Linked DNA regions of Tribolium castaneum. The protein of the gene in region 1 purifies or fractionates together with the protein of each later gene. This does not show direct contact. Links are inferred from orthologs where the notes say so. Each region holds a gene or a part of one and is shown in the gene's direction. Other genes may lie near its edges.

Region 1 (7,760 bases):
AGGGGATCCCCTGTGAGTGTATATTTGAAATAGTTGTTCGCGGCTTGAGTATCTCCGATCTTGTCCGAATACACAAATTTTGTATATTGCGAAAGCACGGCCTGTTGCGATTTCTATACGCAATTTGTTCGGCTGTCAAACAACTACGTTCCAGAAACTTAATAAAACTATCAGTGTTCATCTGGAAGTCCTCCGAGTTGTTCTAATTATAAATGATAGGAGTTGTTTAAATAACATAGTAATTTTAGAAAATTACCATGAAAAAAAGCTCGTTTACTGGGGGAATGATAGGACCAGCACCAAATTCAAACTCGGGTGGTTCCGGAGGAGTTCGTTCCGGATCGGGAACGCTGTCTTGGGAATCCCCCTTTTCACGTCGATCGCGGCTAGGGATGGCGACGGCTGAATCCGGCCCTGGATGACCAGGGGTGCTTCCAGTGAATGTGGATGATAATTGTGTCATTGGCATGTTGTATTGACTGCCGACGTTGAATTGAGTGTATTGATAATGTTGGAGATAAGGGCGCGCAACAGTTTGAGGTGCAGCAGCGTAAGGGATTAAAGGGGTGCGATAACTGATCGGAGGGTAGTAAGTGGTGGGGTAGAGGCTTTGACAAGCGCATACGTGATGCATGTGCAAATGGACGTTTTGTTGATGATTCCCGTTCACGTCAGGACGGTTTTGATCCATTATATAACTTGGGAAAGTTCTGGAAGGGAGGGGATAATTAGCACGTTAATTAAATCTTGTCTAGGACTTTTGGTTACTATTAGAAATGGGCTCATTATTAAAACAAACTTTGCGTTTATTTGTCCTTTATTCGCTAAGCTAATACAAAAAATTAGTTTCAAATTCATTAATCATTAATCATTACCGACTACCGAATCAGGAGCCCGGCCTTGTCACAGAGGGCCAATTCGGTCCTGCCTTTTCTAACAAAATCTTTTTTTACGCAATTTTGAGTCGCTACTATGCCGAACTTACGCAAGCGATTAATACTTACATAAAATTGCACTAATTAATTCTTAAAATAACATTTTTCACAACATTTCAAACACGGATTTGACGTACGAAAAAAATTTGTTTGTTTTGATGGATTCAGGATCGTCATAGCAACGCCAATATGATAGCGTTTATTAATTTTTTCTCACGAAAAAAAAAATGATTTGTGCCGATAATAATCACCTAATCAAATAGAAAAGTGTTTGATTAAAGCTTGTGTTTCTTATTTTTCCCGCAAATTGTTTCAAAAAAGGTTGGTAGTACGGTTTCTCCTAGTGGGGTGGGGTTGGTAATAGTGTGGTCTTATTCGAAAGTGCTTGTTTATTTTATTTTGTGTGTTTTTTTCGTGAAACTGGATTAAAATTGGACAGATAAGAGTATAAGGTAAGTCACAAATAGTTTTGTATTTATTAGTTTTATTACTGTAAGTTCTTGTGCGGTTATGTAACCTCAACAGATTTGGGGGGCTTTAGGATGGGGCCGGTTCAAAATCAATGCTTTATTCACTCTTAAAATTATAGTTGTGCATCTAAAAGTAATATAACAGTTACGTTAGACTATTATTATGATTAACAATCGTCAATGGATTTAATGCATTTTTGGCAGTAAATTATGTACATCTAACGTCCGTTAAAGCAACCGATTATGAGAAAATCAGACAACTATCTTATCTAAACGAACCAAACCGATTCGGTTTTTCTAAAGTTTGAACCGAATTGATTTAAAATGTATTATCATACAATAGGATCAAAGTGACAATACTTACTCATCACCATCCAAACTGTGTTTTATTCTTGTACTAGTTATTAAATTTTAAATCATTCTCTAGCATGTCTAATAACAAGATTTAAACTTCTACTACAATGATATTGTGGCTTATTAACATTGTGCTTATTCACGAAACAAATATTTTCGTATTCAACGAACGAACACACCGAAAAAAGTTCGAGCAATTGGCAAACTGATCATTAATTACATTTATTATAAAAAAAATTGTTTTTATTGAAGACCGACCAGTGAGCAAGAAATGAACTCCAACACCTCACAGGTGGACAATTAATAGGCCCATTAGTAACGCGACGGAAGCGTAAAGTGCGCTACTACTATTGCAACCATCTTCCTCACAAGCGCACACTTCTTGACGACCTCCGAACCCCGACCTTTGATAACATTTGTTCTTGTAATGGGAGTCATCCCAACCACAGGTCCTGATAATACGACTTTCCGGTTGCACTAAAAATAATCATCAAAACTGTTCAAACTCTCGATCTCACTTATTACATCCATTGACTTCAAAGTCAATCACTTGCTTGATTTTCCGGCACAGTTTGTACTTTGTTCCGGGCTCACTTCCAGGGGGCGACATGTTGGGGCAATCCATTTCCAACTCGGTCTTATATTTGGCAATATCGGTGTCGCTACATCTCTTATCCGCGTAACTGTTACACTGGTAACATCTAATGGCGTTACCTAAGAGAAAACGGATGATTTTTTTTTTAAGTTAAAGAGGGTGTGCATTGAAAGTGTTTTCATTTTCAATGAACATAATATAGTCTCTTCGTGGAACACAGATAAATTTGGTACAGAAATAGAATAAATTAGTGTTTATCATTCATGATATGACTTGCGTCAACAAAAACAAATAGTATTCAGATTTTCTCAACTTTATTCTCTCTTTATTCCCAAATGGTACAGCTTATTGATCTTCGAAATGAAATTGCGCGTGCGCATGCACCTTTTTCTTTTTTAAATTAATTACGATTAATGCATTTACATGTTTCTGATTAATAATTTTTTTAGCGAAAGTATTTCTAAAATTGTCTACAATACAAGTAGCGATTTACTTGAATTGGTGGAAAAAATTGGAGGGGTCTCGAAGGGTGCGAACAATAAAAGTAGTTGATTATGTAATCATTACTGTCTCACAAGTGTAGCACTTCACAAGTGTAGCAATAATTAAATAAATTTATGAGAGGCATAAGTTAAATTCGAACTGGAGGGTGTTTTATACTTACTTGATTTCAAACACACTAAAATAAGAAGAAGGGATAGTCCAGTAATGTATTGTAAATGGACCATTATTGGTTTGTGTTAAAAATTTCAAACGAAAAGAATTATTTAATTTAAATAAAATTAGATTATATGATCACGAAATGTTCGGTTTGAGTTCAATATGAAGACTGAATGCAGCTTCAAATAGGGCCTGCGCGAAACCTTGATTCTAACGGAAAGATTCATAAAGTGCGATCTGCGTTTAAGAAAAATATAACGGATTGTTTTTTCAATTTTTATTGATTGATAGTAAATGAACTGAAGTGAAGAAGGGTTACCATTTCCGTAATTACAAAAAAAAAAGTTGGCGTATACGTGTTACTGATTTGCTATGATGTGGCTCGATTAACTCCTACATAGTTTTTTTTTTCCGAAAAAAAAAATGTTTCGTTCGTGTTGCAAAGTCTGCAAAGTTGTGTCTACCCTTTAATTTATTATCCTAATTAGTATTACGAAACCGTTTGATACAATTGGATAATTCACCATATCCGTCCAAATTTGTTGCAATTGATGAAATAACACGTTGAATAACACCATCCATTTTTCCGCTTTGCGAAGGCGAGACAGGAAGTGGCAAATATTCCCTGTGGAATTATTATTTGCAAATCAATTTTATTTGGGTTTTTTAACCTATGAACCGTTGATGTATACCAAGGACGGACCAAGGAGCTCCTTGATGCATACACTCGGGGACGTATTTTGATCGAAAAAGTAATTTAAATGAATTATCCTATTAAGGTCAAGGGAACTGTGTTTACCCTAGGCAAACTAGCTCATACGCTACAAATAAAGCAGGTTAGGAATTTTTTCGTCATTTTGAAGAAATAGACAACTATTGTTGATCTCTTTATTACAATTTCTGTTATTTTAGTGCCAATGCTTCTTATCATACATTTTCTAAATAAAGGTTTTTTCCTCGCATGATAATTAAAAATAGTTATCTATTTGGTTATTACCATAATTTGTTTTTATTTTGTAGTACTTATCGCATTTAAAGTCGGACAGAATATAAAATATTTACACTTTTTTCTTTGTTTCCAAAGTTTTTTTGTAAATTAAATCACAATTTTTGAATGAAAATCGGCTAAAACTTTAGTCGTTAATATCACTGTCTTTTCATTTCTTAAATCGTATTTTTTGGATGGGGTAAGATGGGGTTCAAAGATCATGTTGGCAACCCGTAAAACACTGCGGTCAGTTTCCTGTAGAATTGTCTAGGTGTCGCTTTAGCGAATCATTTCGACATGACGTCATTCTCATTTCTGAAAATCCATGAAAGGGATGACTCATTCATATCGAAAGTTATTACGTCGTATTTGTTAGTATTCTGTAGTATTTCGAGAACAATACTACACAAGAAGTTAAAAGTTATATTCAAGAAATTTTCAAGCCAGTGTTGTGCTACATTGTGAGTCATTACAAATAAAAGCGCTTTGCTTTTGAATGTGGTGTTAAAGTAAGTGTTATAATATTAAAGATTCATTATTTACTTTTTTACCAAGTAATGCTTGAGGGACACCTCACAGACCTTCACTTTGTTTTCTTCTTCGAGAATCTTCATTTCTCGATATTCTTTTGTTTGCTATTGACGTAACTTAACCTAAAATTTCCATTTCAGATTTTATGGAAATTAGTGATTCCGTTTATTATTCACTGTTGGCTTTGGTCGTCGTGCCTGTTTACCTATTTTTCAATCTTTGGTCGTGGTTAGGTTGGGAATTGTACAAAAATAATTGATAAAAAAAATGAGCGGACCCAACTTTGAAAGTCAGCAAAAAAACCTCAGTAACATGAAGAAAAATCTCACTCTTGATCTTAATCAGTCGAAAATGAACATGAACCTATCGTTATCCCCCGACATCACGTCCGTCCTCAAAGTAGATACCCCTGACCTCCTCAAAGTGGACACACCCACCATTGAGAACATCATCTTGGCGAATAATATTTCACACACGCCTTCCCCTTCACTTATCTTCCCGCGGGACGTCACTGTGGAGCAAGAGAAGTTTGCAGGCGGTTTCGTCGAAGCGCTTAATTATCTTCACAATGGCAATTCTCAGCAAGGTTCTGACAGTAATGCCAGTACGGTTTACAGCGAACAGCAGAATTTCATGCCTGTGATCAAAGAGGAGCCCCAAACGGTGCCCAACGTGAATAATACGCCCCCAATGTCTCCTGTCGATATGGAATATCAGGAAAGAATGAAATTGGAGCGAAAGAGACAAAGGAATAGACTCGCAGCCTCTAAATGTCGTTCCCGCAAATTGGAACGAATCTCGAAATTGGAGGATAAAGTCAAACTGTTGAAAAGTGAGAATGTTGAATTGGCTTCAGTGGTCAACCAGTTGAAGGAACACGTGGGGATGCTCAAATTGGAAGTGATGGAACATGTGAATGCTGGCTGTCCCATCATTGCGGGACAGTTTTAAGGATAGAGTACGATTTATATTTTTTTATAAAAATTATACACCAGAGTGATTTTTTTATATTTTGGTGCTGAGATATTCATAGTTGTAGCTTTAATACTGTGACCATATTTTGTATGGAGCCATTTGAATTGTATTATTTACGGTAGATTTAGCGCGATTTGTTTTATTTTATGTAGTTTATCACATTTTTATTAATAAAAATTGTCTCAGTAACAAGTAGTGAATTCATTAAAAAAAATTGGTTAGAATAAAAACAATGGAAAATGGGTAAAGTCTTTAATTAACAATAAATAAAATTCTTTTGTCAAAAGCGACAACATAATTATTCGTGAAACTATATCATCATATCATAATACTGTAAGCGGTCATATTTCTTTGGAAATTAATAATTCTTCTACCCCCATGCGACCCCGATGTCTCCAGACTCTATAACGAGCTAAATCTTTCCTTGTTACCATTCCTATAACCTCATTTGTGTCATTAACAATCGGCAAATGTCGTAAACCGAGAGCTCGGAATAATCTAAACATTCGAGGTAGTGATGCCGACTGAAAAAAAAAAATGATTAAATGCTAATTACTTGTTTTTTTAATTACATGAAGCACCGTATATGGTGACGGATTCATAAACGGCCTCAGATCAATAGAATAAGTTTTTTCAACTTCGGAAACACTCACTTGCTAAAGAATTAAACTTAATTACTTAAAAAGGAAAGGGCGAGAGAAATACCACTACCTCTATTGTTGGATATCGGGGATACTCATCTCGAAAGATTCCCGCATTAATATCCTCCCAAAAGTCCGAATTTTCGTTAAAAATCTTCTTTTTCAAAATAACAATTAATTGTGACCTCAAAACTAACCCTCTTATTCTCCCATACGTGGTAACTTCCGATTGATCAGTTAGTGGCGGATCAACAACCGGAAATCCGTTATAAGTTGTTAATTTCAACAATTCAACAATATGCCCCACATTCTCAACACACTTCAGTGTAACCACCGGATGCGACATCACCTCACTGGCGTAGATATTGTGAACTAGTGGCGGGGGTTCCCATGGGAGTAACGGAACACCACTGAGTTGTATAAGTGTGTCATAAATTCCCTCATTGAAAAAATCACCAGTCCATTTTGCCGCAATTAATGTCAGAATTAGAGGCAAAGCAAAGGAAATGTTTCCTGTCGTTTCCATTATAATCACTGTCAAACTAATTGTCATTCTGACTACGCCTCCTAATTGAGCGGCTGCACCAATCAGGGCGTATTTCCCCGGATGAATGAGAACAGCGTCGGGGATTACTCGAAATAGTCCGACTGAAATAAGCCGACCCCAAGCAGCCCCCGTTAGGAGAGTCGGTATAAAAAGACCATTAGAAGAGGCAAGACCAAAAGTCCATGACGATAAAAAGAAATAAACTAGGACGAAAAAGGCCAGAGAGGTGGCGTTGTGCGTACTTGGGGGATCGTGAAAAAGAGAACGGACTGAGGCTTCAGGAGTTTGAAACCAAATGCTTGCCAAAACATTGTATTGGCCATCTTGACAGTATAACTGACAAAAAAAAAACGAATAGAATCAATTATACTTTAATTTTTTGTTTACCTGAGTTGGATATTTCGTGGGATCTTGTCCCAAAGGCTTGCAATCATTCAGTAAAAACATCATCAGGAAACCTAAAGTGGCACTAACAGCTGCGACAATACAAGCTTCAATTACTTTTAACCATCTTTTTCGTATATATCTGTAAGTTTTTTTTATCATTTATTGTGAGCAAAACGTGATATTACCTCATTCGAAAAACTGATAATTTGTAATTGATGTGATTCCATAACGCCCCCGATAATCCACCTAAAGCCCCCATTACGAGGAAAATTGGTAATTCGTACACTTTATAACTAAAGTTTTCAAATTTGCCTAAATTCAAAAGTCCTGGATAGCTTAAATCACCGGGAACTCCGTGATAAGTTGATAAAACTACGTTTAGAGTAAAGGTGCTTATCACGGAAGCGAAAAAAGTGCGCCATGTTAGGCTCTGATTCCAAAAGCTTGTACCTTCTTCCAAACTAAAAAGCACTCCACCTAAAATCGGGCGAAAATTGTAGAATTTATATTTATATAAGTTTAAATTACTCCAGTTGTTTTTACAGTTTTATTTTTTTGACTTGAGAAATATCTCGGACTACATTTGATATAATTTTTTTATTACCAACTGGTGCTCCGAAAGCTGCCGAAACTCCCGCAGCGGCGCCCCCAGAGACAAAGTCCCGTTTTTCGTGATC
Region 2 (7,984 bases), on another chromosome or scaffold:
TATGAGAAGAAGAAGGAACAGTTCAAGTCAAAGGTTCAAGGGAGTATTTTGGAGAAGTACGGAGGGGAGGAGCATCTGGAGGCGCCCCCGAAGTCGCTACTTTTGGCACAGACTGAAGATTACGTGGAGTATTCACGCTCCGGTAAAATTATAAAAGGGCAGGAGAAGGAAGTCATCAAGTCAAAATATGAGGAGGATGTCTATATTAATAATCACACTTCGGTTTGGGGGTCGTTCTGGCGAGGGGGGCAATGGGGCTACAAGTGTTGCCACTCGTTTGTCAAGGTTTGTATTTTTATTTTGGATTAAATAGTGTTTAAACCATATTTTCGTTATTTTTTTTAACAGAATTCGTATTGTTTGGGAGAAGCTGGCCGTAACCAGGAGGCCAACAAACCACCAGAAGTTGTACCTGAACCAGAGGAAGAAAAAGAATCAAGTGAGAGTTCATCATCCGAGTCGAGTTCCGACACAGAAGCGAAACACAAGTCCGAGAAAAACAAGAAAAAGAAGAACAAGAGAAAGAAAAACAAAGAGAAGAAAAAACTGAAACAAAAAGAAGAGAAGGACAAGTTAAAAGAGGCCCTCAAAGCGGAAGAAGAGCACCAAAAGCGAGCCGAGAGTTTACTGTCAATAGACGAGAGGAAGCGTCCTTACAACAGCATGTACGAAGTGAAGAAGCCCTCAGAGGAGGAGATTGAAGCTTACTATTTGAAGAGGAGGCGAGAGGAAGACCCAATGAATCAATTTATGTAATAACAAGAATATATTTATTTGTAATAATACAATGAAAATAAAAAATTAGCGTCGTGTTAATTGGAGTACGACCCCCTTATCGACCATTTTCCCGACAAGTCTTGCCGTATTCCTGGCATCATGCAATCCGCAATGTTCAGTCCCTTCAAAAGTCAGTCCTAGTTCGGCCAAAGCGCCAGAAAGTCCAATAAACGGGCGTCTGATGTAGCGCTTGAACAGTGCTCTAATATCAATCCATTTGCGGTACATTTTCTCAATTCTAATATTCTTCCGGATGCACTCCTTTCGGAGACAGGTCCCCAAATCCCAGTCCGACCAAGTGGCAAAAGCGCACGTTTTTGCCGCCTGACTTTCGCCGTTTGGGAAATCCATGTCATATAATCTCATTTTTTCGGCAACCCAACGCGAAAACAGAAGCAAACAAGCTTGAAGGGGGACCCCGTTATCAACTTGGTGTTGCTGTATTCCTGTAAAAAATCATCAGTGGGGCTTGGGGCACAATGTTTTTTACCTGTGAGCTCGGTACAAAAGTCGCTCAATTTGGGATTCTCGACTGGCATTACGTATTGCTGGAACTCTGCGATTATTTTAGCGTTTTTTACGTCGTAAAGAACGACCGGAAATTCGATTATTTCGGCCGGATTTTTTCTCGGGTCGCCGTTACTCCAGCAAGTGGCTTCAAAGTCAAGGACGAGGAGGTAGTCAAAAGGCTGGGGAGTCGTGGCCTTAGCGGTTGAATAAATTACTTCTAAAGCACCCAGTTTTCTGAAATTGCAATAATAAGCTTATCTTTAATTTAATTATAATTTTTCTCACCGGGCCAACTCTCGAGTGCTCATTTTACTAAAATATTTCACATGTAAGGTACAAAAAACTTAATCTAAAAGTGGAGCACTTGGTCAAAGAAAGTCTCACATAACCTCAATAAACAAAATAAAGAAAATAGCAGAAATACAGGTGATATGGCATTAGTACGCCTCGATGGTACCGCTTTTTAAGTTACAAAACCCTTTAGCGGAAAACATGGACAACACAAATTGTGTCTTAATTAACTGAATAAAAAATGTATTTTGAATTTGCCGCCATTTTTTTTCCACCAAGTCACAAAAACTAAGGTGATTCCACTCCCCAATAATTTTTTTATCTAATACAGTTATCAGCGCAAATTAAAGGCTCGCACTTTTTCTGAGCATTTTATTTAAATACTGTCGATTGCATACAAAATAGACCTAAAGATAAGGCGTTATCTACGAATATCCAACCTTTCCAGAAACATTTTTTGTGCGTTAGGAGCGCCTCCTGGCGTTTGTCACTCCTGTCGGCCCGGCAGACCTGTCAAAAATCAATTTTGTGATTTGTTGATTTTTGGATTTTCAACACTAAAGTTCCACATAATCGAAAGACGAAACGTATACGATTTTTAAACCACCCTCAACCAAATCACCCCACACTCAAACCACCCATATTTTGTGTCACCATCAAGTATGGCTTTATCTCTAACGTGTAAAAAGTTACTCAGGTTATCCGTCTCCAGCAGATACTTTTTCAGACCATGCTCTTCAGCCTGCCCGGAAAAAGTAGGTTTTATCATTAGAAGCAATGCAATTGAGTGATTTGCGTTCGTTTCGTTTTAGAAAGGCTTAGTCTTGGGCGTGTACAGTGATGATGAATGTGAAGGGTTGGAGCTAACCCCCGCTGCTGAAAAGTACAACCAGAAGTGTCAAGGCAGGCTTTTAGAACAAATTAAACTGTAAGTAGCGTCATAGCGTTTTTATTGCATTAGAGGACAAGTCCAAGCGGAATTAAACATTACATAATGTGAAAACATGGGAGTAATTAATGAAACTTGGCACAAAATAGAAAGCTTTATCGTTTTTTATACACGTAGCGATTATTTTATTGTCTTGGCCCTTTTCGTGCAAATTGAAAAACCTGACCTGAAACTTGATCCCGTCAGTTTAACCAATCCAGTAGTATTGAGTGTTTTCAAGTAACAATTTAGGCGATTTCTGTCCCCGTTTCAGGTTTTCGGGTCAGGAACCGTCCGAATTGTCGCTCCTCAATACTACTCCAGTTCTTGTTTCAGGTCGATGTTTTTCTCTTAACTACCTCTAAGTCGTCAAAATGGCTTCAAGCCGCGACGGTCGTAGTAGTTCCGCCTCTTCGCACAGTAGTTCGAACGTGCCGACAAATCGCTCGTCGATTCGCACCCCAAAGCGTCAGCGTTCGACAGCCGGGGGCGGCTCCTTCGAGGAGAAAACGACCGATTTTTCCTGCCCCGTCTGCTTCAACCTGATCGAGGAGGCTTACATTACGAAATGTGGCCACACGTTCTGCTACACCTGCATTTTAAAATCGATCGAAGCCCTCAAACGCTGCCCCAAATGCAACGCCCCGGTCACCGGCGAAGACATGATCTTCCCGAACTTCCTCCTCAACGAACTGATCAGAAAGCACAAGACTCGCTTGAACAACTTCGAGGCTTTGGGCTTGAACCGCGACAGTTCGGGGGAGTTCGGGACGTCGGCCGACGGTTTACGGGATTTTGTGGCAACGGAATCGCAGAATTTAACGTTGCCGGACGTTAACGTAATGTTGGAGGTTCTGACGCAACGGAAGCAACTCCTGGAGGCGGAGTCGTGTGCCGCGCAAAACCGCCTCCTTTTGGAGTTTTTGAAGCACTTGCTTAAGCAAAAGAAGGAGCGGCAGGCGCAGATTATCAAGGAGATTGCGATTATTGAGCATGACATTGAGGAGGTTTACAATAAGTTGAAGGAGGTGCATAGCAAGTGCCCGACTTTGGAGGATGTGGAGCGGACGGTGGCGTCGGCGGCGGACAATGCCGATGTCAGTGCGATGAAGAAGGAAATGATCGATTTGATTGATACTATAGGTAGTTCGACTGGTCGCAAAGATGACACGACGAATCCCGACGCCCCGCTTCGGCTAGGTTCGACCTCGCTGGCGATGCGCCGGCGGCGGATGCACGCCCACTTTGACGACTTCGTCGACTGTTACTTCACCTCACGCTCCAAAGACTTGTTCTTCGGCAAAGACGGGGTCGATAAGACTAAGACTACTATTAATACGGGTCTCGACGAATTCCGGGAGAATTTGATCAAATTCTCGCGCTATAACTCGCTCCGGGTCCTCGCAACGTTGAACTACTCGAGTGATTTGTTCAACAATTCGACCATAGTCTCGAGTATCGAATTCGATAAGGATAACGAGTTCCTGGCGATTGCTGGAGTGACGAAAAAGATCAAAGTTTTCGATTACGGTGCTGTGATTAAGGATACGGTCGATATACACTATCCCTGTATTGAAATGCTCTCCAAGTCGAAAATCTCGTGCGTGAGTTGGAACACGTACCATAAGAGTATTCTGGCGAGTAGTGATTACGAAGGGACTGTGACGATTTGGGACGCTTCGACCGGTCAGCGCACCAAGACCTACCAAGAGCATGAGAAGCGCTGTTGGAGTGTTGATTTCAATGAGGTTGATACTCGGTTGATCGCCTCGGGTTCGGACGATGCGCGCGTTAAGTTATACTCGCTCAACGGTGAGCACTCGATCGCGACTCTCGAAGCCAAAGCGAACGTTTGTTGTGTTAAGTTCAATCCGAGGAGTTCTTGTCACTTAGCGTTCGGTAGCGCTGATCATTGTGTTCATTACTACGACTTGAGGAACATGAAGGAGGCGGTGGCCGTGTTCAAGGGCCACAAGAAGGCAGTGAGTTACGTCAAGTTTCTCAATAGTGAGGATATCGTGTCGGCGTCGACCGACTCGCAGCTTAAATTGTGGAATGTTAATACTCCGTATTGCCTTCGGTCGTTTGTCGGACACATTAACGAGAAGAATTTTATCGGATTGGCGACGGACGGCGATTATGTCGCCTGCGGCTCGGAGAATAACGCCATGTATATTTATTACAAAGGCTTGAGTAAAAAGTTGTTTAGTTATAAGTTTGAAGCGATTCAAGGGGTCTTGGATCAGGAAAGGCGGGAGGATGATATGAACGAATTCGTTTCGGCTGTTTGCTGGAAGCAGAATTCGAATGTTGTCGTTGCGGCGAACAGTCAAGGGATTATTAATATTTTGGAACTGGTTTAGGTGATAGTCTAGCACGGCATTAGGACAATCAACTGTTCTTGGCATATCCCGGATTGTAAATTTCGTTACAGGATGTGCACAGGAAAAATCGGTTTAATAACTAAAACTTGGATGGGGGACTATTTTATTTTTTACGTACAGGGGGCGAAAATATTTACTGTTTTTATAGCGTTACTATCTCGAAACTTAATAGTCGCACAGAGATCAGCGTCCGCTATTAAATCCCTTATTTTTATCTCTATGCATGTGAATTTTTTCATAATTTTTATATCCTTCGTTATTGAAATTTTTAGTTTTTTTTTACGGATTTTTTGTACAAAAAAATATTTAAGCAACTTTTCTTTTAAAATGAGAAATTTTATTCTTTGCAGCGACTTAATTAATTTTAATTATCAGGAATTGTAGATACGTATAATATGTATTTGGAATAATAGTAAATATTTTCATTAAGTACTGCCTGTATAAATAGGGAGTACCGTGCCTGCAGTAAAATTTGTGACTAAAAAATGTTCGAGTCTGTTGGTTAATTGAAGGCATGGTGGCTTAGTCCCGAAATTTATTGGTGTTACCGCTTATAATTTCCTATAACAATTTTGGAAATAGCAAGGCTATTTTATTAAAAATCGAAACACGAGAAATAGCTGCCGTATTTGTCTATTGCTTCGAGAATTGGGGTAGGAATTGAAGTGTTCCCTCTAGTGAGTGCCCTTGTTTCGTAGCGCCGCTCTCAACAAATATCATTCTCCCAGCAAAAAAGTCTCCACCTCATAATGCCCAAGTGTGCCAAATTTCAGAGTTACATACGCACAATTTAGCGAATAGTATAATACGTGTGAGACAAAACCAGTCGTAGTTCGATGTACACAAGACTTCACAAGTATAAAACCAAAAAAAAAATTGCTCATTAAATTATAGCGTAAGTATTTTTAGCAATATATGTGCCAATTTTGTGTTGTAATCATGTTATTCTTAGTGTGTAGTCTGGCCCACTAGTGATTTGGTTAAGGAAAAAGGCAGTTGTTACTATGTTTTACTCCATAGATGTGTTGCTCTTGTTTACTTCGAATGTTGAATTGAGAGTATACCCATATATTTTTTGTAGAATTTTTTCGAGCTTCAAATTGAGAAAATATAAGTTTGGAGTATTTTGTGTATATATGTGCATAGAAAAAAGAATATAATGTAAAAAACCGGCATTTTACTGCCCGAAAAACCGTTTTATATTTTTTAAAATGAACTAAAATGTGATTGAATTTCCTCGGTTGATTTGCGGTAATTGTATTGCACTATATTTGTACGTGTCGTCTGGAGAGTCAATGTTCATTGTGATCATATAGATTTCACGATATAGTCTTTCTCTCTATAACAAAAATTGTTGAATTAATTTGTGATCCATTTAGGTAAATGTTTTTATTGTTGTAAGTAGTTGTATAATAGCAATAAAGTTTCTCATTGCCCAAAAACCGATTTTAATTCCTCGCATTACAGCACAGGTAATAAAGTAAAAGCGGGCAAAACGTTCGTGTTTTGGGGCCTTGAACCTGACTTTCAATCCGTCGCTATCGTGGGACTGGGCAAAAAAACTAAACCAAGCGACGAACTTGAATTAATTTCGGAGGAACGGGAATCCGTCCGAATTGCAGCTGCCGGTATTTATTGATTTTACGAAAAAATTGCATTTGTTGGTTTCAGCCGCTTGTAGGGCCTTGGACGCAGCCGGGGTTAAAAAAATACAAGTTGAAAGCTTAGGCGATGCCGAGGCGTCAGCCGAGGGCTCGAAGCTCGCCACTTGGAAATTCCAAGACTTTAAAACAAAAAAAGACACCTTACCTGAAATATTCCTCCACCAATCAAATCCCGGCGATTGTGACCAATGGAATCGCGGAACGGTCAAGGCAGAGGCCCAAAATATCGCCCGGCGACTCACTGATACCCCCTCAAATCATATGACACCAACAATTTTTGCCGAAAGAGCTCTCGAATTGTCGAAAAATTTAGGGATTTCGGTCGAAGTCAGGGATAAAAACTGGGCCGAAAGCGAGAAAATGGGGGCTTTCCTGGCCGTTGCTCAAGGCTCGCTCGAGCCCCCGAAATTTCTCGAACTGTCGTACAAAAACAGTGACTCGAACCCGTTTGTTTTGGTGGGTAAAGGGGTGACTTTCGATACGGGCGGCATCAGTCTTAAACCATCGGTGGCTATGGACCACATGAGGGCCGATATGTCGGGGGCTGCCAGTGTTGTGGCCACTTTGTACGCTTTGGCGAGTCTCAAAGTGCCGGTTAATGTCAAGGCTTTGATCCCTTTGACTGAGAACATGCCCTCGGGCTCCGCTCTCAAACCGGGCGATGTTATAACAGCCCGGAATGGAAAAACAATCTGTGTTGATAACACCGATGCCGAAGGCCGCTTGATCTTAGCCGATGCCCTGTCCTACAGTGCGAATTTCAGCCCCAAGTGGGTCTTGGACATTGCCACTTTGACTGGGGCTATGAGGGTGGCGCTAGGTGGCTCAGCGTCGGGGGTTTTCACCAATTCGAACAATTTGTACAAAATTTTGGAAGAAGCGGGGTCGCGAAGTGGGGATCGGGTGTGGAGGATGCCCCTTTGGAAGTTTTTTACGAAACAAATGACCGATAACGCCGCTTATGACGTGAACAACGTGGGGAAGGGTAAAGGTGGTGGCAGTTGCACCGCTGCAGCTTTCTTGAAGGAGTTTGTTCCGGAAAAAACCGACTGGTTGCATGTGGATATCGCCGGGGTTATGGGCCCCGATGATTCCACTCCGTACCTGGGCAAGGGGATGACAGGGAGGCCCACGAGGACGCTGGTTGAGTTTATAGAGGCGCAAGCCAAGTGTTGATTTTTTTATAAGAAATAAAACCAGTTGAGTATAATTTGTTTTATTAATAATTTATATCACAATTTTGAAATTCGGTAACGTTACATATGCAAACTGATCGGCACGATACAATTTTTTATTCAAATAATACACATTTGTCCTTTAAATTTCTTAGTTTAAGGTGCTGCAAAAGTTAAGTGTGGTTGGTTGCGCTTAGGTTACAAATTTAGCATTTTGGGTAATGCACGAGGACCAAAGTGTTTTCGCATTTTAAA
Region 3 (8,081 bases), on another chromosome or scaffold:
ACCAGTTCTGCCAGAAGACCAAGAAAGAGCAGCCCCAGTTTGAAGTCCGGCCAACCGGTAAGCCGCAGCCCCTTTTCACCCTTTACTAATTTCCCCAAAGGCCCCAAACACCGCCAGAGATTCCTCTGCGAAGTCCGCATCGATGGCTACAGTTACGTGGGGGCTGGCAATTCCACCAACAAAAAGGACGCCCAAAGCAACGCCGCCCGCGATTTCGTCAGTTACCTCGTCCGGGAAGGCATTGTTAACCCCGCCGACGTGCCCGACTTCCAGGATGCGCCTCCAGGTCCAAACACCGTTCCGATGAATCGGGGGCCCGCCCCTTCGGTGTTTCGACAGGGAATGGGGCCCTCGTCGTTTGGGGAGGCCTACAGGCCTCTGGGGCGCGATCACGACGATTGGCATTACATGAACAGGGCGCAGGAACAGAAGAGTGTGGAGGATGCAGAGGATTTGGATGTGAATGCTCAGATTCATGGCAATTGGACTGTGGAGAATGCAAAGTCAAAGCTGCATCAGTTTATGCAAAGCAATAAAATACACGCGGATTATAAGTATACGCAAGTGGGGCCAGACCATTCCAGGTTGGTATTGAGAGAGTGAGTAGATGGAAGTTTGTGTGGGGGGAGGAGAGAGAGAAAAATAGGCACAGTAGAAAAACTGAAAAATAATAAAATAATAGAGCATAACCAAGAACAGTGACAGAATAATTTATTTTGTTTATTGTTTACTCACGTTTTTCTTCTGGCCTTGGAAATTTAACATTTCCCCTGCACTGTTTATTTTAAATATTTTTTGTATAAGAGAACGAGAATAAAAAATAAAGAAAGAACCGTAATAATAAAATAAATATACATAATAAAAAATACCAAAAATAGAAAAAAAAACGAAAAGAAGGAAAAAATGTTGTTTTTTTTTTTTTTTAATTAAATCTGCAATAGAGAATGAGGCACCAATAGAAGAAATAATAAAAAAATGTAAGGAGTAAAGACAGATAAGCAAAGCCAAGAACAGTGGATAGAATAATTTATTTTCATTATTATTTTATCCATTCACGATTTTTTTTTCTGGCTTTGAAAAAACCAACATTTCTGCCAGAAGGATTATTGTTATTGTTTGACTATTTATGGTTTGAAAATTTTTAGAAAAAAATGAAAGATTGAAGAAATTAAAATTTTTCTATCTTTTTTATTTTTTTCTGCAGAGAAAAAATAGTAGAGGTGGAAAAGCAGAACTAAGTACAGTGGATAGAATAATTTATTTCGTTTATTTACCAAAAAATTCACGATTTTCTTTCTGGAAAGAAGGAAGTTGTGAATGCGTTTATGTTTTATTTAACCAATTGAATGGCATTTTGATAATAGAGTTACTGGTTTGATTAAAAAATTAGTAACTTTGAGGTCATTTTTTTATTTATGAAACTTCTGTTTTACTTCTTGCAGTAGTTTCTTAAATAATAATTTTCCACTGCAGCTACCGTGGGAACAACTCAAATATTTTACTGTTCTTGGTTCTGTTTTTCCTCCAAGGTACAATATAAAAACTCTGCATTATACACTTGTAAGTATACTTTTAATCCCCTATTTCTCAACTGTAATGCTCCCATTTCTTAGGACTTTTGTGGCCGAAATGAGCTTCTACGTCAAGCAACTCGGACGTACAATAACCGGTCGTGATTCCGGTTCAAATAAGCAAACCGCTAGTAAAAGTTGCGCTCTTTCCATCATTCGCCAACTGTTCCATCTCGGTGTAATTGAAGCATTTTCCGGAACACTTAAAAAAGAGAAAACCGGCAGTGAAATGAAACCTTTCGATGTAAAAATCTCCCCAGATTTACAAAAACAAATCAAAGATTGCCTCGACACTTTGAATATCACTCCGGTTGAGGTTAAACCGGAAAGCGAAAGCCAACCGGTTTCACTTTTGAGCAATCACATTTTGGACGACTTTCAAGCCTCCAAACCGATAGCTGCAGGAGTTGTCCCATGGTCGCCTCCTCAACAAAATTGGAATCCTTGGACTGGGTGCAACATTGATGAGGGCCCCCTTGCCAACGCCAACTTGGACGAGTTGAGCGAACATTTGGCCGAAGAAACCAAACAAAAATTGAATCATGACGTTGATTTGAAAGCTATCATTAGTGAGAGACAAGGTTTGCCAGTGTATTCAATGAAGGGGCAAATTATGGCCGCAATTAACGATAATCCCGTTATCATAATTAAGGGAAATACCGGATGCGGTATGTAACTAATAACATGGAACGCCCTGTATCTTTGTATATATGGTGTTGTAGGTAAGACTACACAAGTGTGTCAGTACATTCTCGAGGATTATATTATGTCGGGTCAAGGTGCCTGGTGCAATATTTGTATAACACAGCCTCGGAGAATTTCGGCTGTTTCCGTTTCGGAACGAGTGGCCAATGAACGTTGCGAAGCATTGGGACAATCGGTTGGGTATTCGGTTCGGTTTGAATCGGTTCTTCCCCGACCTTATGGTTCCATTATGTTTTGTACGGTTGGCGTGCTTTTGAAGAAGTTGGAAAATGGGCTCAGAGGCGTCAGTCATGTGATTGTCGACGAAATACACGAAAGGGACGTCAATAGTGACTTTATTATGGTAATAACCATGATAATTATTTGTTCGTTTGATGCGTTATCACGAGTTTTTTTGTGACAACTGTCTGGGAAATTAAACTCAATGCTTGGGGTTTTTTGAAAGCTTCAGCTAAAATTGCGGAAAAATTACAAAATTAAATCGAAAATTAGATTAAGTTATGGTTGAAACGTAATTATTTCGCAAAATTTTTTAATAAAGTAGCCGAAAAATTATTATAACTGGACTTTAAATTATTCTTATGTTATTTTTATTTCTGTGTATAATACTGACGTCTTTGGTATCAGTTTTATTACTATATCTGTATGAATTGATAGGAATAAGTTATTGTTATTATTATTATTTAAACTATCTTTGCACAAAAATTTATGTTTTTTTGTGAGTTTAGAAAAAATTGGGATAATTTCAGGTGGTTTTACGCGACATGATCCACACCTACCCAGACTTGCGCGTAATTCTAATGTCGGCAACAATTGACACGAGTTTATTTTCGAAATATTTCAACAATTGTCCAGTTGTTGAAATCGCCGGCCGAACTTATCCCGTCCAGCAGTACTTCCTGGAGGACTGTGTCGAACTCACCGGTTTTGTGCCACCTACAGAAACACGCAAACGTAAGGCTGGAGGAGGCGGTGGTGGTGGAGGCGACGATGACGAAACAACCATTGGAGACGACGGCGATGAAAACATGAACAAAATAATCGACCCAAAATTCAGTACTCAAACCAGAAATGCAATGGCTCGAATGAGCGAACGCGAAGTGAGCTTCGAATTGATGGAAGCCTTGCTCAAATACATCAAATCGCAAGAAATTCCGGGAGCTGTTCTAGTTTTTCTCCCCGGTTGGAACCTGATTTTTGCAATGATGCGCCACTTGCAACAGCATCCAGTGTTTGGAGGGGCTGCCTATAGGGTGCTGCCGTTGCATTCGCAGATTCCACGAGAGGATCAAAGACGTGTCTTTGAGCCGGTGCCCCCTCATGTCACCAAAGTTATTCTGGCAACAAATATTGCCGAAACTTCCATCACAATTAATGATGTAGTGTTTGTGATTGATAGTTGCAAGGCCAAGATTAAATTGTTCACTTCGCATAATAATATGACGAGTTATGCGACTGTTTGGGCCTCAAGGACTAATCTCGAGCAGAGGAAAGGACGTGCAGGGAGAGTCAGACCGGGGTTTTGTTTCCATTTGTGTTCGAAGGCACGCTTTGATAAACTGGACGAACATATGACACCGGAAATGTTCCGAACACCGCTGCATGAATTGGCACTGAGTATTAAGTTGTTAAAGTTGGGCTCGATTGGGCATTTTTTGAGCAAGGCGATCGAGCCACCGCCACTAGATGCCGTCATTGAAGCAGAGGTAAATTATTTCTGTAGTTTTAATTTTTTAATTATTGTTTTTTAAGGTTTTGTTACGTGAGATGAAATGTTTGGACAGTAACGATGAGCTGACACCACTTGGTCGCATCATTGCCAAACTTCCGATTGAACCACGATTGGGGAAAATGATGGTTCTGGGTTGCATTTTTATGTGTGGTGGTCCCTTGGCCACAATGGCTGCTAATTCGTCCACATTTCCCGAAATTTTCACACTTGATATGGGCCAGAGACGTTTAAGCCACCACCAGAAGGCTCTGGCTGGGGATAGGTGCTCTGATCACGTCGCCATGTTGACAGCTTTTGAGGTACATACAGTATTTTTTAATGTTTTAATGAAATATTATTTGTAGTTGTGGGATCAAGCACGTGCTGGTGGCGAAGAAGCCGAGCAACGTTTCTGCGAATACAAAGGCATAAGTATGCCGACAATGCGTGTCACGTGGGAGGCCAAACACCAATTGCAACAAATTCTCAATTCGGTGGGTTTCCCCGAAGAGACTTTATCACCGATTCCTATGGATACAGTTGGCCCTGATCCGAAATTGGACGTTGTGATGGCATTAATGTGTTATGGTCTTTATCCAAATGTTTGTTATCACAAAGAGAAACGAAAAGTTTTGACAACCGAGAGCAAGGCCGCCTTGATACATAAAACATCAGTCAATTGCAGTAACTTTGAACAAACGTTCCCGTATCCATTTTTTGTTTTTGGGGAGAAAATACGGACAAGGGCCGTTTCGTGTAAACAAATGAGTATGGTGACGCCGATTCATTTGTTATTGTTTGGTTCGAGAAAAATTGATTGGGTAATTCAAACTAAACAATTGAATTGCAAGTGTGAGTTGATTTGATTTTGTTTAGGTTGATGGTGTTGTGCGACTTGATAATTGGATTAATTTGAATATGGACCCAGAAGTGGCGGCCCTTATTGTGGCCCTAAGGCCGGCCCTGGAAAGTTTAGTTGTTCGGGCGTCGCAAGAACCGGAACAAATACTCGAAATGTCACCAGGAGATCTCAAAGTAATTCATAAAAATATCTAGACTTAAATTTTTCGAGCGCTATATTTGGCTTTTTGCAGTTTGTTGCAACAATTAAAGAGCTGTGCAAGTTGCACGCTGGGAGTTACCAAATCGAGAGGGCTAGACCCCAAATGCAACAATCGAGGCGTCCACCAAGGGGGCACTCTTTGGGTTTTCAAGGACCACCACCAAAGTTTTTCAGAGGGGGGTCTCGAGGGGGCTTTGGAGATAATCGGGGTGGTTTTCGAGGGGGTTTTGATGGGGGCCATGGATTTGGGGGAAGAGGGGGTTTCAGAGGCAGGGGCGGATTTCCAAGAGGTCGTGGTTTCAGAGGCTATAGTAATTATTAATTGTATCGGTAGACATAAATGTGTTTGATCATCTCGGTATTCAAAAATTAAAAATTTTAACAAAATAAATATTAGTTTTTTCTTCTCGAACTTGAGGCCTTGGCTCACTAGATTCACTACAAAGAACAAAACAATATATATTTTTTGTTGAGTTTGTTAATAAAATTTAAATTTGAAGATTTGGCTAAATGACTACTACCGTAAAAACTAACACAACTCTAGGAAACTAACAACTTAAAGCTTACGCTTAAATATAAAAAATGTGACGACCCTGCCAGGATTCGAACCTGGAATCTTCTGATCCGTAGTCAGACGCGTTATCCGTTGCGCCACAGGGCCTGTAACACTCCCCTCTGTTTCTGATCATTTACCTACCCAACGTTACCAAGTCAATTTAATTGCTCTGATAGTTGCTAATTTGATTGGTGGTGCGGTTGAAATTGACCTCTCCCTTAATTATATTACTAGAATGCTTCAACAAAACATGTTGAATAGAAAAAAGTTCAAATAAAATCATAAAAAAAATCTGTCTCGTATTGACGTATAATTGGTTGCCTGCATATCACTATCACGTAATAGTGCAAACACCAAAATCTCAACTCTTAGCAATGGTATTCCCTTTAATTAAACCAGCTGGTGTGAAAACAGCCTCAAAACCATCAATTTCGGTAAGATTGAGTTATTTTTGCCCCAATCCAAGGTCACGTCATAAAATTGGCAACGTTCGTTATGTCAATTACGTCAACTGTCAATCAATTAAGATGCCCATTTATTTTCATCGCCCTAAAAGATGATTTTGTAAGCAAAAAGTGTTAGTAAGTCCTTGACAAAAACTCAAAATTGGATATTTTAGTAGTTAGTGTAGAATGGAGGCTGCGGGCGAATCGCGGGAAGTCCCCATAACAGTCTTGAGGCCCAAAACCAAGGCACTGTTATGCGACCTGTTGAACCCCCAGATGTTCATGCCAGGCCCTAATGGGGTGCTCCGGTGAGTACAGTTTTAGTATAGTTACAGTTTGTTGATTGGGGGGCTTAGGTATTGGAGAGGTTTGGCTGGCCTGTGCCAGATTAGCCCCAATTATGAGGCGAGTCTTGTCAACGATTCAAACCCCACAGATAAAGTGTTACAGTTGTGGTATGAAAAAGACCCCCAACGTTGTACTGTACAACAATTGTTGTTATTTTTAGAAGAGATGGACCGGTTTGATGTTGCGGACGATGTCTTGGATTTGATCGGTAAATTAATTTCACTATGATTTCGATTAATTTGTGCGAATTTTGTTGTTTTGTAGATGAGGACATTAAATTGTACAAAGCCAATCCACAAGGCTATGAACTCAAGCCTCTCTATTCCGAAGCTGATAAATACATTATTACAACAGATGACGTGATAAGGATTAATGAAGGCCGGGATTTGGAAATTTACGATGCGTTTTTATTGTACGACCATGATGATATTGAATTTGCCATAGAATTGTTGGACAGAATGGAGAAGGAATATGGAATGAAGTTCTGCGTTAAAGACCGCGATTTGGTCGGAGGTGGCTTAGAAATGGACAAAATGATTAAATTAATAACACATCGGTGTAACCGTTTGGTTGTTATTCTTTCAGATTCGTTTTTTAAAAGCTCAGCCAATGAGTATTATTTAAGTTTTGCACACGCTTATGGAATTGGTAACAACAGTTAAAAACATGCATTTTTTATGTTTAATTGTTGTTTTTACACAGAAAGTCAAAGGAAAATTATTCCTTGCATTTATAAAAATCTAACAACGAATCCGCCACATATGAAGTGTCTCTTCACTTTGGATTTTCAACGAATGGCTGCTTTCAATGTGTGGGATAAGTTACGTGATTCGATCAGAGTGGTCAGTGCGGAAAAATTCAAAGTTAACAGGTATTGCCTACTTGATTTTTGTTACTTTGAATAAAATTTTTGATCAAGTAGACTTTGACTGAAATTAAGTTGGTAACATTTGCTATCGTCTGTTTTTAAGGTAAGGCTGTTTTTTCACTAACACACTAAATATTTGATTTTTGGGTTGATTTCCTGCAATTTTTTGCATATTTTTGTGTTGAATGTTCGAAAAAGTAAAAAATAAACCCATTTTCTAATCATTTCGGCGATTTCTGGATTCAATTTACCATTTACTACATAATTATTGAACAGAATGTTCGGGGAAATACTCAAACGACTTAAGTTCAGTGTTGGCAACTTAATTTCAGTCATAGACCACTTCGATTAGAGTTCAATTAATTCAATGCGAGTGTAATTGCAGGTCCCAATCCGACAATGGTCAAGTGTTGAGGTCCGCTTTACATCAGAGGGACCCTATCGGTCTCAGACCGTTAAATCACGGCGTAAAATTTAGCAGTAGTGTAGGTGATTTGAAAAGCACAGAGGCTATAAGCGAACCACCGCTCAATCCCAGTACAAGTGCCGACAATTTAGAATCGTGTTCGGAACAGAAAAAAGAGAAGAAAACCACTTTGTTGAAAAAAATCAAAGGCCATTTCAAGCGAGATAAAGATTGCTCATCCAAGGCGGAAAAAGGAAGCAAAGGATTGAAGAAACACTTGAAGCGAGCCACAGCCGTCGCGAACTGATGCATTTTATTTGTGATTTGTGTAAATAAGTGCAATTATTTTTAATAAATATGATTGAATTTGTTGTGGGGATTTTCATTTTGTCACCAAACCCTAGTTA

What was found.
Region 2: the proteins of Jra (region 1) and E3 ubiquitin-protein ligase COP1 purify together in Homo sapiens (affinity purification with western blotting; 9 studies listed by BioGRID and IntAct, counting the BioPlex papers as one, with this or other methods). This does not show direct contact. The link is inferred for Tribolium castaneum from reciprocal best matches to the Homo sapiens genes JUN and COP1.
Region 3: the proteins of Jra (region 1) and mle purify together in Homo sapiens (affinity purification with mass spectrometry; 3 studies listed by BioGRID and IntAct, with this or other methods). This does not show direct contact. The link is inferred for Tribolium castaneum from reciprocal best matches to the Homo sapiens genes JUN and DHX9.

The regions. Positions count from the first base shown.
Region 1 is NC_087399.1:144,567-152,326, reverse strand, and holds Jra (Jun-related antigen), read left to right. Parts: upstream 1-4,367; 5' UTR 4,368-4,511; intron 4,512-4,559; coding exon of another isoform or gene 4,560-4,632; intron 4,633-4,673; coding exon of another isoform or gene 4,674-4,792; 5' UTR 4,793-4,800; coding exon 4,801-5,484; 3' UTR 5,485-5,700; downstream 5,701-7,760. Other genes in the region: uncharacterized protein mtsh, read right to left, coding at 1-202, 257-691; uncharacterized protein LOC663924, read right to left, coding at 2,046-2,236, 2,285-2,473, 3,019-3,082; phosphatidylinositol N-acetylglucosaminyltransferase subunit Y-like, read left to right, coding at 4,560-4,632, 4,674-4,792; ClC-b (H(+)/Cl(-) exchange transporter 7), read right to left, coding at 5,850-6,032, 6,081-6,164, 6,220-7,032, 7,084-7,222, 7,269-7,560, 7,688-7,760. UniProt on the Homo sapiens protein: Transcription factor that recognizes and binds to the AP-1 consensus motif 5'-TGA[GC]TCA-3'.
Region 2 is NC_087397.1:2,836,043-2,844,026, forward strand, and holds E3 ubiquitin-protein ligase COP1, read left to right. Parts: upstream 1-2,333; intron 2,334-2,390; coding exon of another isoform or gene 2,391-2,506; intron 2,507-2,842; 5' UTR 2,843-2,880; coding exon 2,881-4,869; 3' UTR 4,870-6,332; downstream 6,333-7,984. Other genes in the region: pre-mRNA-splicing factor Slu7, read left to right, coding at 1-285, 349-756. UniProt on the Homo sapiens protein: E3 ubiquitin-protein ligase that mediates ubiquitination and subsequent proteasomal degradation of target proteins.
Region 3 is NC_087394.1:36,800,903-36,808,983, forward strand, and holds the end of mle (dosage compensation regulator), read left to right. Parts: coding exon 1-57; intron 58-100; coding exon 101-584; intron 585-1,473; exon of another isoform or gene 1,474-1,560; intron 1,561-1,613; coding exon 1,614-2,239; intron 2,240-2,293; coding exon 2,294-2,619; intron 2,620-3,025; coding exon 3,026-3,982; intron 3,983-4,028; coding exon 4,029-4,307; intron 4,308-4,352; coding exon 4,353-4,808; intron 4,809-4,863; coding exon 4,864-5,022; intron 5,023-5,081; coding exon 5,082-5,372; 3' UTR 5,373-5,549; downstream 5,550-8,081. Other genes in the region: myeloid differentiation primary response protein MyD88, read left to right, coding at 6,239-6,360, 6,409-6,608, 6,665-7,048, 7,103-7,271, 7,654-7,981. UniProt on the Homo sapiens protein: Multifunctional ATP-dependent nucleic acid helicase that unwinds DNA and RNA in a 3' to 5' direction and that plays important roles in many processes, such as DNA replication, transcriptional activation, post-transcriptional RNA regulation, mRNA translation and RNA-mediated gene silencing.